2 linked regions of the Caenorhabditis elegans genome follow. The protein of the gene in region 1 interacts with the protein of each later gene in a pairwise test. Each region holds a gene or a part of one and is shown in the gene's direction. Other genes may lie near its edges.

Region 1 (6,692 bases):
AATTAGTTTTGATAGAAAGGAGAAGGGTGTCATATACACAAATTGGCGCATCTTTTCATTAATTGGATGAGAACAGGTATGATACGGTAGAACACAAATGTTTCTGATTGGTTCAGTTATGACAATTGATTGATCTTTCATAGCGTTCTTATTATTACATCGAAATATGCTTGCGTGCCTGCCTGCCTACAAGGCTGGTGTAACTCATCTGGAAGACCACATGGTGCATCTTGACTTGCTTGATAAAAAGGCCTTCTTAGAATTATTCAATTGCAGTGTATTATTATAATTTAAAAACAACACTTAAAAGAAAAACAACATTTTAATTATTATTCAATTTTTCTTTGTGTTTTTTAAGTCTCAATATTCGAGAAGAAGATTAGTCATATTACAAAAATCTCGGCCTACAGAAAAACTACCGTAACAACCTCGATTTTCTAGAACAGATATCCAGATTCTTCACCTACATATATCATCATTCTCTTATCTTTTCCTTCTTTTACACTTCTCTGATAAACAGTCTTAAATCAGTCAATTGTCTCACTCAGACAGATTTCGCGCATCCAGCCGTAAATGAAGCATAAACCAGTCAATGTTATGGTAATAAAATCATGATGATGAGAGGACAGTGGTAGGCGAGGAAAGGTTATGCAACGGTCGATGACACGTAACCGTTATTCATCATCACAATCCTCTCAATGATGTAGATGACGAGATTTTGCAGATTGGAAGTGCATGGATAAGTGAAGAATAGTTTACAGGGAGAAGGGTCTCGGATTCAGGAGGATATATTATATTAACTTTACAATCTGAATCGTGTGGGTCTTGCCACGAAAATAGTTTATATTGGAGCTTTAATTTTTATGGCGAGCGCTTGTTGTTATCCTTTATCTTGGCATCTTAAATTCGAAAAAAAAGTACCAATTGCACCCCATTGCTCAACTTTGACAGCTCATATCAGTTGGTATTTGTTTTATTGAAAAACGGTCAACTGACAAAACAAAACACTTGCTATATGTTTTTCTACATTTTTTAGTTTAAAATTTATTGATATTTTTTAAACGAACCAAGATATATCCTTTCAAAGTAACGTAGTTGCGTACTAGAAGAAATACGGTATCAGAATTTTTTTCTCGTGGCGAGGCCTTTCGAATACATTTTATGCGCCTTTGAAGGTGTATCTTTGGTAAGGAAATTGTTTAAAACTACTCCGAAACTGCTCAAACACCCAAATCTCATAGTAAAACTTTTTGAAATTTGTTAAGTTTATTTTCACTGATCATAATTTTTGGAAGTCGGCCAAAAACTTGTGGTATAATTTTTTTTAACTGAAATTGCGTTTCAAATATTTGTATGAAAATTCCAGTAGTTAGAACCTGTAGCATTGCTCGATACTTCTCAAAAGTCTACATTTTTGGACAATTTGGCAATTTACCAAAAGATTGACTGAAATTTTTAAAAAACCCAAATTGAATGCGTTTTTGAAAAAAAAAACACATATTTTATTATTTGTTTCTGAAATTAATATCCATGCTATATATCCACGTGTGAGACACTAATAAAATCTGCAAATATAAATAACTACAGTAATCCTGATCCTCTGGGTGTCATATCCGGCTTGACGTATAATATGGACAAGCTCAACGTAAACATTGCGCAACTTCTTGTCAAACATCTCACCATTTTCAAACATCTCATCAATCATCCACCATAACCTTCCTTTCAATTATTTTAACATGCAGAATGCTCGTCTCTCTCCGGATCGATACGGTAGATATTAATCTGAATACATTCCCTTGCGATTTGGATGTTATTTCCCCTTTAATGAGAGAATCTTCACACGTACCGCACCGCCAAAATAGGTATTTTAATTGTGTCAAACGGGGCATTCAGATTGAGGCAACTGATTTGTTGAGTCCAATTTGCCGCAACACAATTAATTAAAATGAAGGCGGATAAGAAAAAGGAGACGGGGAATGACTGAGAATTTTCAACAATTTGATTTTCACGAGATAAGTATGAAAGCGGCGAGGAAAAGGTAAAAGTAAATAAACATACAGGGAGCTTAATATGTTTTAAGAAAGAAGCTACAGTAACTCAGGCTTGAAAACCGGACGTTTGGTTTTTCATTTTTAAAGTTTTCATTCATCAATCCCAATTCAAAGTTGTTTTATCAAACGAACAACAAGCTTTCAAAGGCCTTTTTATAAATCAAATTTCATTTAAAAGTGAATTAACATTTTAATACTAATTCAGAAAATATAAACCGTAATCTTGTCAAAATTAAGAAGGAGGGAGACGAATTTCTTTGGATGGGTCTCGCCACGCGGAACAGTTTGGTATATGCGCCTTTAAGATTACTGTAGAAAATTTTAAAGAAAATTTCGGGTTTTAATCCAATTATTCTCTTCGATTTCCTGTTTGCTCGCTGATTTTCTAAAATTATAGCTTTTAAAACAATTTTTACATTATTTTTGCATTTAATTCGTTGATCTGCACCTCATCAAACGACCTGAATCGATCTCACCTTGCTAATGTTAACTTTCACAATTTCATTTTGTCTCTCCCCTCGTTGTTATCGATTTTTACACATTTGGTTCTCTCTTTGAAAAGCTATTTTTCAACATCAATGAATTTTGTTTCAGAATGAGCTCCGACGAACAAAAGCCCGAAGTTAATGGATATTGGACGGTAATAATTCATTTTATTACAATTAACGATAATATATTATTGCAGTCCGTGAAAAATTTCTCTTCGTCTGCCGCTACATCAATTAATAATGCCACCACATCTGCATGGAACTCGGAGTTTGCCGCATCGACGTCAGCGGTCAGCATATACAATTTTCATTGAAAAAAAAAATCGAAAATAGAAATAACAAAAATGCGTTTTCGTATTGAGGCATTTCTCAGAGAAATTTGCCTTTCCAGTAATTACAGTAATTAAAAAAATTATTTTTGAAATATAATTTTAAAAAACGAATGAATAGATTTTAAATGTTGTTTTCTTTTTCTTATTGCAAAAAAAAGCGAAATATGAAATTCAAATTGTTCAAAAATTCTCATTAAAAATGTTTATAGACCGTGAAGGATTTTTCGACGTCTGCCACGAAATCGATCGGAGAAGCGGCAACTTCCGCTTGGAATTCGGAAACTGCATCAACGGCAACATCGGTAAGTTACCCTGTAAATAAATATAATTTTCAAACATATACTTTTTATTGTAGGCTATTTCTGAAGCTGCGAAAAATGCAAGAAGCTGGTATGATAGCTCATCGGAAGAAAACGAAGAGGTAACGCTTTTGTTTCTGAAAAGAGTATTTTTTTGTCTTTTCAGCTGGAACCTTCTGGACACGGCTTCAGAGGAGGAATCGCTGCACTGAGTAGAAATGCGAGTCACTACGTGATCAGTACAGTCGGACGGTCATCAAATATTCTAAACATCTTCGACAAAACGAACAAATCGAGCCTTGGAAATCCGAGATGGTGGATCCGATTCGACCGACCTCATGGAAATGTTGATTTCCATCACATTAACATCAACAAAGCAGTGACTGGACTGAAGGATCCTCATATTCCACTCACACCGACTACTGCCAAAACTATTGGAGTGCTTGGAAAAGTTGCAGAAAAAGCAAATGATGTCGCGCCACTGCTCACGACAGCGGCAATGATCTACGAAGCCTACCGAGTTGGACAAGAAGTCCACAAGGATATGAATCATGGGACGACAAGAAATACAATCAAAACATTGGCTGCGACGAGTGGAACTTATTCCAGTGGATCCATTGGAGCTTATGCTGGTATTTATTTCTACTCGGTTTTTATTTTCATTTAATTGTTTTTTTACAGGAAGTGTGATTGGAACATCAATTTTTCCCGGATTAGGAACGATTTTCGGGGCTGTCGTCGGAGGAATTGTTGGTGGACATTTTGGTGGTCACTACAGTCACGTGGCAACAGAAAATGCGTTGAATCATGTTAAATGGGACGTTGTAACGTTCGTTTGTGATGGATGTGATGAAGAATACACATGGAAAAAGTATCAAGAGATTGAAGGAACCTGTTGTGAGTGCTATTCTGATAAAACAATTTTAATGGAAAACGCATTTTCGAAAATCATAAGTTGGTACTTTTTCAGGTACAAGATTCAACAACAAGAGGCAGGATTCCGTGGATTATTGGTTCAAAAAGCTCGAAACAAATCATGATTTTTAATTCCGATATTCGATTTTCACTCTTATTCTTATTATCTTCACATTTTCACTTTGGCACCCATAAGCTAATAAATTGTTTGAAATTTAGTTTAAATTGACATTTCATTAATAGTGTGGTGTGCCAAATATTTCCTGAAAATATTTACACGTGAGAGAATAATCGATAATTATCGGCGATCTGAAGAACGGAGACGACGAAATGTGAGAAACAATAGTGTGTAATCCTTTTGGACAACGTCTATTAGCTCAGCCTAAATAAAATAGCAACTTTCGATTTTCGGTCTGCGAACACTTTTCAATTTTGTGCACATTATTTTTGCTAAATTTACATTTTCCAGAAATATGAGTAGTTCAAACGACAATAAAGGGAAACCCACAACAAATGATCAAAGTGGTAAATCGGTGAGTTTTAAAATCTCCTTTTCTAAAAAGGAATCTTTTTTTAAGAAGAATTATAAAAGTTGAACATATACCTTTTTTTCTTTGTTAAAATTGAATACTCAAATTTTCTGAATAATCCGACTGAATATGGAATAAAAGGAGGCGTCACTGCAATAAGAAGAAATGCGGTCAAATATTTGATTAAAACCTCGGGTAGAAAATCAAATATTTTGAACATTTTCGACAAAACTAAAATATCTTCTCGCGGAAATCCGAAATGGTGGATCAGATTCGATCGCCCTCATGGAAAAGTGGATTTCCATCACATCAACATCAACAAGGCAGTTACTGGACTCAAGGATCCACATCTTCCTATCTCTCCACTGCCAAAACTGCTGGAGTTCTTGGAGATGTTGCTGAGAAAGCAAATAAAATTGCTCCAATTTTGACGACTGCCGCTGTGATTTACGAAATGTATCAAGTTGGAAAAGAGGTTAAGAAGGATTATCATCACGGAACCACACGAAATACTATAAAAACAGTGGCAACCACGGCGACAACTTATGCAAGTGCATCTGCTGCAGCATTGGCCGGTAAGTGTTGTAATTTTAAAAGATTCAGTAGAATTTTTTACAAAAACTTTATTACAGGAAGTTCCATCGGATCGGCAATCTTTCCTGGTATTGGAACGATTTTCGGAGGAATCATTGGTGGAATTGCCGGGGGATTATTCGGTGGACATGTTGCCGAGACAGCTTCAGAACAAATTCTAACTCACGTGAAATATGATGTCACAACGTTAACCTGTAAAGAATGTGGAAAAGATTATGATTGGAAGAAGTACGAAGAAGCACAAGGAGTTTGTAGCTGCCAACTTCAAATTGTTCTGAGCAACGACGCTGCTACCAAATTATGTGCAATTTTGGCGGAAAAGATTCAAAGTCCATCTCAAACTTCAAATTATGCATTTAATTCTTACCTTTGTTATTATTATCTTCACATTTTCGCGTGTCTCAACAAGATTTTGAATCATAAATAAATTATTTCTAGAAAACAAACACTCAAATTGAAATGGCAAGAAGTGCAGATGAAAATTCAAATGAGAGAAATAAAAAGAGAAAAAAGAAAAAGAAAGAAGATGAAGGGAACATGGTATGGAACAATTATTAACAATGCTCACAGAAACAATTTAGTTAACTCAAGATCCAGCTGGTGCAGCAGTTCACATATCATCAGCTGGAGCTCAAACAGCTGGAACAATTGGCGGAGAGGGTCTCACAACGATCGCGCAAGCTGCTCCAGTTTTACAAGTTGCTGCAGTTGAATACGATGCTTATCAAATTGGGAAAAACGTGGAAAAAGATAAAAGGAGAGGGACAAGTAGGAATACTGTTAAGAAAGTGACCACTACAGTAGCCACGTACGGTATTGGATTTGGTGGAGCACTTGCAGGTGTTCTTTCCATTTAAATCTGAAATTTTGAAGAAGCTGAATATTTTAAGGTGCTGCAATTGGAACTGCAATTTGTCCAGGAATTGGAACTATTGTTGGAGGGATTGTGGGTGGTATCACAGGTGGAGTTGGTGGTGGATATGGTAGTGGTAAAGCAGCAGAAGCTGTTATGGATCAAGCAGAATATGATTCGTACAGAACTACATGTGAAACATGTCAAAAACTATACAGATGTTCCAAATACATTGAAATACAGATGTTCCAAATACATTGAAATTTATTAAAATTTGCTACACTGAAAACCTTTATTCAAATCTCCGCCATTAAAACATTTTCAATTTCGATAGAGCGCACTTGCATTAAACTCATTTTACTGAATTTTTCGCTCATTTTTCATATTATTTTTCTTTCTGAATTTGTTTATAACCACGCTTCGAGCCAGAAAATGTTATTTTTTCATTATTACAGAATTTAAAAACATGGGAAAACGCAAAACAAAAGAAGATAATGCTTCGGAAGACTACGACGCGAACGAGTTGATGATTGTGCCGGGTATTTAATCGAAAATTAATTTATCGCTTACATTTACTTTCAGGCGAGAAGCGTAAGAAATTGGAAAAATCTGGAGAAAAATCTGCAACTG
Region 2 (7,032 bases), on another chromosome or scaffold:
TCCGAGATATGAGCTTTCAAAGTTGAGAGACCTCACTCGGTTGATGCACCATGTCTTTGACAGTCAATATCTCGGTTTATTTTGTAGCTATCAAAAAATTTTCAACTACAAATCTATAGAAAATTAAATGTTCAACATTTTCTCAGTTGACAGTTTTTTGATAACTGCAATGACATCCGAGATATAAGCTTTCAAAGTTGAGTAAACCCATTTTGTAGATGCACCATGAGGCTAAATCACTTTTGACCGCCCATATCTCGGTGAATTTTATAGCTATCAAAAACTTATAAATTACAAAACTATAGAAAATCATATGCGCAATATTTTAATATTTTGCTAGTTGACGGGTTTTTGATAACTGCAAAGAAAATTGAGAAATGAGCTTTCAAAGTTGAGTGTGCTACTTGTTATCGATGCACCATGTGCTTCACTATACTTTGGAATTCCATATCTCCGTTCATTTTGTAGTTATAAAAAAATTTTCAACTACAAAATTATAGAAAATTGTATGCTTATTATTCTGTCAGTTGACAATTTTTTAATAACTGCAAAGAAAATCGAGATATGAGCGTCCAAAGTTGAACTCATTATCGATGCAACACGTCTTGTAAACAAACTGCCAAGGCGAAGATGTACAACCCAACGCACCGGCCATTTTCCAGTGACCATCGTAAAAAGCACTATTCCACAAGCATAATAGTCCGCCGCGTAGGCTTCATAAGGCCGATATTTTGTGATTTGCGGGCATGTGTAGGGCTGAGTTCCACAGAATGATCGAGACCGTTCACGTCGTTCAATGTGTCTTGCAAATCCGAAATCGATGAGCTTAATATCCCCATTTCCGTCGATTAGAATATTTTCCAATTTCACATCTCGATGTACTATTCCTCTTTTGTGAAGATAATTGATCGCTTCGATGAGTTGACGGAATAGTGTGGCTGCTAATGGGTGCTCTGGAATAAAATGTTTCAACGTGGCCGAGATTATGCAAAGAGACAGCCAGCGAGCACGTGTTTCACCACACCCTCACCTTTCAAACGTTTCTTCTGGAGAATCCACTCGAGAAGTGTGCCACGTTCATAGTAATCCGAAATAATCACGAATTTCGTCGGCGCTGGTCGTGTGATCGCCAGGCACCGCGCAATATGTGGATGTCGAACCTTCATGGTGATCTCCAATTCGCGCGGGAAGAATTTCTCCGCCACGTTTGCCGGAATCGATTTTCGATCCACGATTTTCACAATCACTTCTCGACGATAAAGCTGCGAATCCACTTTGAAGACAACCGAGTGAGCGGTGGTGGCAATTGGACGAGGTGAGAATGTTCCAGACACGCTTAGTCCAATTCTACAGAAATTCAAAGGTTTTTAGTCTCAAACTAGGCCTGTAAAGTTTTTCTGAGGGAGCAGAAAGCCCATGCGCCTTTAGGCGATTACTGTGTCTTTTGCAATCAATTTCACAATCAGATTTTCTAATTAAATTTCGATTCTCTTTCGAAAAATAACAGGAAACCCGGAAAAATTGCGAAATAATCTGAAAAAGACCGTACTTTCTTAAAGGCGCACTCCTCATTTCACTCAAAGGTCCTGGCACGATTGTTACTTTTTAAAGCGAGCCGTGCGCTTTTAAAGGGGTACGGTGGAAATTTTTGCCGATTTCGCAATTTTTCCTGATTTTTCTTCCGCGGAATTCCAATATTTTGAGAATATTCGTTGGAAAAACGGCGAAAATCAAGAAAAACTCGAATTTTTGACCTCCAGAAACTCACATCGGAATCAACTTTTCTGTAGACGGAGAGAGTGTTGGCGTTGACATGTCATAACAATAAGGAATGTAGTTTTATTCGATAAAAAAAAGGTCTCACGCTTTGGAAAATTCGAGAACAAAGAAAAGTTCATAAAAATATAAAATACACGTGAAATTAAAAAAAATTAATTGCTCTATCACCAATCGTTATTCATATCACCGAAATCTTCCATAAGAGCATCTTCGTCAGCAGCTTCCTTGGCTTCCTGTTCCTCTCGCAGCCGCTCTTCCTCCATCATTCGATACTCTTCCTCGACATTTTCATCAATTTCAGCGGTTTTTTGGTCGGATTTTTCAGAATTTTTAGCTTTTTCAGTCGTGACTTCTGAAATTGAAAGATTTTTTGATTTTCTAATAACAAGTTTGGATAAATTTTGCAACCTTTCTCTGGTAAATCCTTGAATAAATCATCGTCATTATCACTCGCTCCATCATCAATAATTCCATTCTTTTGATTCTCCTGCTCCTCGTGCTCAGAATCCTCGCCAGTCTCTCCAAGCCGGTGCTTGATCATGAAAACTTTAACCTGCCGCCGTGTTCCCAGTGTCTCGACTCGATTCAGAACATCTTCGGTTTTCATCTTCGGAAACATCAAATGTCCCCAGTATGCGTATTTTTTCATCAATTTCTCCAGATTTGCGTACTGAAAAGGGAAAATTATTGTATTTTTTAACTTTCAAATTTACCGGATCATCCTTGGGATTTGGCTTGAAATCTTTTAAAGTCTCCCGAAGAGCTGAAATTCCTTTCGGCCCGGTCAAAATTCGCTCATTCAGTGCTAGGCGTGGATTCTAAAGTTTGAAAAAATTTAAATAAATCATAGAAAATAAGCGTTTTACTGCTAGTCTTTTAGTCCTTAACAATTTCGGCTCCACGACTCGTCTAGTGCCTCCCTCGCCGCTGTTATCTGAACAAAACTTTAATTAAAACCCGATTTCTCACACGAAATTCTAGATACCTTCGATTGCTTCGTCTCCCATAGGGCTTGGCTCTCGATCCAATTCATCATTTTCGAAGAAATCTTCCATTTCGTCCATTTTTCTGGAAAAAAAGTTGATTTTCGATCGAAATTTCTAGGTTTTCGTGCAGAAAACGAAAAAAAATGCAAAAATCTTAGCGTTTAAAAAACTATTTTCAAACAACGCGCCGACAAAATCGGCTGAATCGCGTCGAGACCCGATCGATTAAATGCGTGCGCCTTTAAAGAAAGTCAGCATTCTCTTTGTGTTCTTGGCTAGAAAAAGTGTTCCAGTCCATTTATTATCTGAATTTTCTGATTTAAACGCATTTCTTAAGGTTTTTTATTAATTAAACCACTTTATTGTTAATATATCACTGTTTTGAACAGCTTATTTCGTAAAAAATCCCAAAATTCTTCTGGAAAATGAGAAAAAATCTAGTTTTTCGCCAAATTGTCGCATTTCTTTCCAGAATAACAATGTCGATCGCCCAACAACTCATGGATATGGGCTTCCCAGCCGACAAAGCCGAGGCCGCCGCCGGAAACAACAGAAATCTCGATCAGGCGTTGGATTGGATTGAGAAGGACGGAGCCGGTGTACCAATGGAGACAGATGCTCCAGCTCAAGCTGCTCCAGGAGCCGCTGACAGTGGTGCACCCCCGGTAGCCGCCAGTTTTAAGTGTGATGAGTGAGTTTTTCCCCCCTACGATTCTTATTAATTATTTCTCCAAATTTTTTTTTCCAGCTGCGGAAAGCTTCTCGCCAACGATGATGCTATCATGTTCCACGCTTCGAAGACAAAGCACGAGAATTTCAGCGAAAGCTCGGAAGCTATCAAGCCTCTCACTGCAGAGGAAAAGGCCGCAAAAGTCCTGGAAATCCGAGAAAAAATCAAAGTCCATCAGGCCAAAAAGGCAAAGCTCGAGGCCGAAGAGAATCGTGAGAAGGAGAAAAAGCGTCGTGAGGATGGAAAAGCCATGATCAGCCATAAAGAAGCCGCCAGAGATCGTGAAATTCGGTTAGAAAACTGTTTTCCATTGAATTTAAATAATAATATTCCCAATTTGCAGAGAAGCCGCTCAAGATCGTCGCCGCGAAAAGAACGAAGACGAAATCGCCAGAAAACGAGTTCTCGAGCAAATCCGGCTTGACAAGGAAGCCCGTAAGGCAAAAGCTTCAGGCCAACCGGTTCCAGAGGCAAAGCCTGCTCCGTCTGCAGCTCCAGTTGCTCCGCCAAAAGACTACTCAACTACAACTCTTCAATTCCGACTTCTCGATGGACAAACTGTTAGACAACAGTTTGAAGCTAATGAGCCGGTAATTTAAATATTCTCGACTCCCTTGAATTAATTTTTCAGCTCGCAATGGTCCGCGCCTGGGTCGAAACTAATCACGCAAACGGTGTTCCGTTCACCCTGATGACCCCATTCCCCCGCAAAGTGTTCACCGAGGATGATATGGGAACACCGCTCAAAGTTCTCAGTGAGTTTTGCTCAAAAAGGCCGGATTTCATGATGAAACTTGGAAATTTTCGAAAAAAAAAGTGGACGATTTTCAGCTATTTCGCCAACTTTTCCTGTTCACAGCTGCCGGAAATTTATTTTTATTCGATTTTTGTCCTTCTTCAGCAAAAAGACTCAATTTAACTGAAGAATCTGAAAAAGTGCTCAAAAATGGCCTAGAAGTCACGAATTGTCAATTGTAAGGCAATTTTTGAGCACTTTCGAATTTTTCAGTTAAATTAAGTATTATTTTCAGAAAAATCAACTGATTTTCTATATTTTGACACTAATTTTTAAATATTGGAGCAGTATGGTGCAATTTGACTTTAAATGTGCCTAAATCAACGAAAAAAACGCTAAAATATATAGATTTCTGCTGTAATTGGGCCATTTTTTCGAAAAAAATAAATAAAAATTTGAAAAGTTTCGTTATGAATTTTGGTTTTTTGAGACCAAAAAAATGTTCATTCTCTAATTTTTTTTTAAAATTTTCAGATTTGGTACCATCCGCCAACGTCATTCTCAACCGTGCCGCCTGAATCTTCAAAACTAAATTCCCACAATTTACTGCTAATTTTCTCTCCCCCCTCTCCCGAATGCTGGTATCACTTGTAAACTAAACATGTATATTGAGCATGTATAAAAATTTTCCGATAAACTTTTTTCCCCTCCATATATCTCGAGGCTCTTCATCTCCTCGTGATCTTCGAATTCCCGTCAGTTTTGCTCTCCGAGCTCTTGCCACAGATTTCTGACAAGCTGCAGGACAATCATATCTCCAGAGTGATTGGAAGCATTAGAACCTGGAAGATATTGGAATAAAAACCTGCGTACTGCACAACATATTTGACGCGCAAAATATCTCGCAGCGAAAACTGCAGTAATTCTTTAAATGATTACTGTAGGTCGATTTACGGGCTCAGATTTTCTTTTCGATTTAATTTAAGAGGCCCCACCAAAACGGAATGCAACTCAAAACAGGATACAGGGGCGGAGCCTATTTCGCAACCACCGCATGCTTTTTCCGCAAGCCTCGCACGTTTTTTCTCTTTAAAAAATGCAACAACATCAAGGAAAAAACGTGCGAGGCTTGCGGGAAAAGCATGCGCGGTTGTTGCGAAATAGGCTCCGCCCTTGCATCCTGTTTTGGTGAATCCTGTTTTGAGTTGCATTCTGTTTTGGTGGGGCCTCTAATTTAATATTCTATCGAGAAATACACGAGCCCGTAAATCGACACAAGAGCGCTACAGTAGTCATTTAAAGAATTACTGTAGTTTTCGCTTCGAGATATAATTAAATTCCAAACTTGTTGTTATTTTTCAATGATACAGTAGAAAGTTGCGAGGAAATATTTCGCACTATAAGTCCAGCCATTCTCGTTTTTCCATCAGGTTTTCCTTAATTTTTTCAACAACAAAAGTACAAAAACACAAAAATTCAAAATTCAAGTTTATTGAAATTTCTAGCAGTTCTGATTCTCTCTAGCTAATTTCTTGATCACTTCGATAGCTTCTTAAAATGTGCCAACCCCAAAAACTCTGGCTGGATCTCGCAAATCTGATGGCAGTTCATCCATGTTTCCCGTTGGCATGATAACTCTCAGATTTCTTGCAAATGCTGCACGCGTTCTTACCACGATATTGCCAACCTGAAAATATGCTCGGGTTGTACTAGTTTTTCAAACACATGAATGAAAATCTGTACTATTTAAAAGTGTTCTAAACTTCTAGCTACGAAATTAAAAACAAAAAGTTGAAGAAACACAGACACCTCGAGACCCAAAGTGGAGGGAAGAAACGGTTTGTATCGATTTACAATTTTTTACTCTTCCCCCGACCTGCCTCTTGGGTCCCGGGATGTCTATCTCTCTACAATTGACTACACTCTCTGTATGGGCAATAGTGGAGAAAAGCGTTTTCATAATTTTTAACGCCCTTCATTTTTTTAAAATGTACTTCTTTAAGGCTACTTCTGAAAGAAATCGGAAAAATATTCAAATAGTCGATTTCCGAGAAATAATGAGAGACGTAGAAATGCATAGTGTGCATGTGTGAGAGATCGTTGCAAACGAAGAGGTAGAAGATTTTTCTGCTGTCATTTCAGGGTTGCGTGCATAATTATCACTCAAATGTAGGAATGAGGTGAATAAAAAAGGTCAAAATTCGTAATTTTTTTCGCTGCATATCAATTTTTTCAAATTTTAGAAACTCGTGTTATCAAGAATAATTTTTCATTCAGAAGTACATATGGTATAATCTCTTGCAAACTCCTAAAAAAAAGTTTGTTTGGTTTTCTTGAAACCAAAAAAATAAAATAAATAAAAACGAAAAAAGTTGTTGCACTGAAATTCTGTCACAAGAAAAATTTAACCGGAAGTTGTTGTCTGATTTTGTGGGTTAAGATCTACGACTGTGGTGAGTTTCATAACATTTAGCCTGGTAGTTTTTTGTTACAACACCTTTTTTTTGGTAGGTATTTGTTGGTTTTCGAAAGACCCAGCCCAGGGCCTGATTAGGGTAGACCGAGCTCAAACCGTCTTTCATGTAACCTCCCAATGACCAGCAAAAAATATATGTCTCCTCCTCACTCACAACAATCTCTTACTCACGCACACTGCGCTTCTACGTCTCTCCCTATTTCTCCGAAGGTTAAACTGCCTTTGTCAGTACGGATTTAGTTCTGAAGGATACAACACCGACTAATCATAACTGTGTCAAACATGTTAACTTTTCGAATTTTTTTTCACTTCTTTCACTTATTTT

The links.
Region 2: the proteins of C13G5.2 (region 1) and ubxn-1 interact in a two-hybrid assay, tested with the Caenorhabditis elegans proteins (one large-scale study listed by BioGRID).

Annotation. Positions count from the first base shown.
Region 1 is NC_003281.10:8,614,393-8,621,084, reverse strand, and holds C13G5.2 (uncharacterized protein), read left to right. Parts: upstream 1-2,622; 5' UTR 2,623-2,646; coding exon 2,647-2,691; intron 2,692-2,736; coding exon 2,737-2,829; intron 2,830-3,080; coding exon 3,081-3,173; intron 3,174-3,226; coding exon 3,227-3,292; intron 3,293-3,336; coding exon 3,337-3,802; intron 3,803-3,851; coding exon 3,852-4,067; intron 4,068-4,140; coding exon 4,141-4,217; 3' UTR 4,218-4,311; downstream 4,312-6,692. Other genes in the region: C06E1.11 (uncharacterized protein), read left to right, coding at 4,875-5,190, 5,248-5,636; Putative ATP-dependent RNA helicase rha-2, read left to right, coding at 6,529-6,601, 6,645-6,692.
Region 2 is NC_003279.8:2,430,767-2,437,798, forward strand, and holds ubxn-1 (UBX domain-containing protein 1), read left to right. Parts: upstream 1-3,235; 5' UTR 3,236-3,244; coding exon 3,245-3,456; intron 3,457-3,513; coding exon 3,514-3,786; intron 3,787-3,838; coding exon 3,839-4,085; intron 4,086-4,126; coding exon 4,127-4,250; intron 4,251-4,765; coding exon 4,766-4,809; 3' UTR 4,810-4,925; downstream 4,926-7,032. Other genes in the region: F23C8.8 (Protein kinase domain-containing protein), read right to left, coding at 649-953, 1,031-1,347, 1,769-1,815; tipn-1 (Protein TIPIN homolog), read right to left, coding at 1,944-2,131, 2,188-2,449, 2,493-2,597, 2,646-2,713, 2,765-2,843; F23C8.14 (Lon proteolytic domain-containing protein), read right to left, coding at 5,784-5,918, 6,226-6,318. UniProt on the Caenorhabditis elegans protein: Ubiquitin-binding protein which acts as an adapter for ATPase cdc-48.1 and/or cdc-48.2, conferring substrate specificity.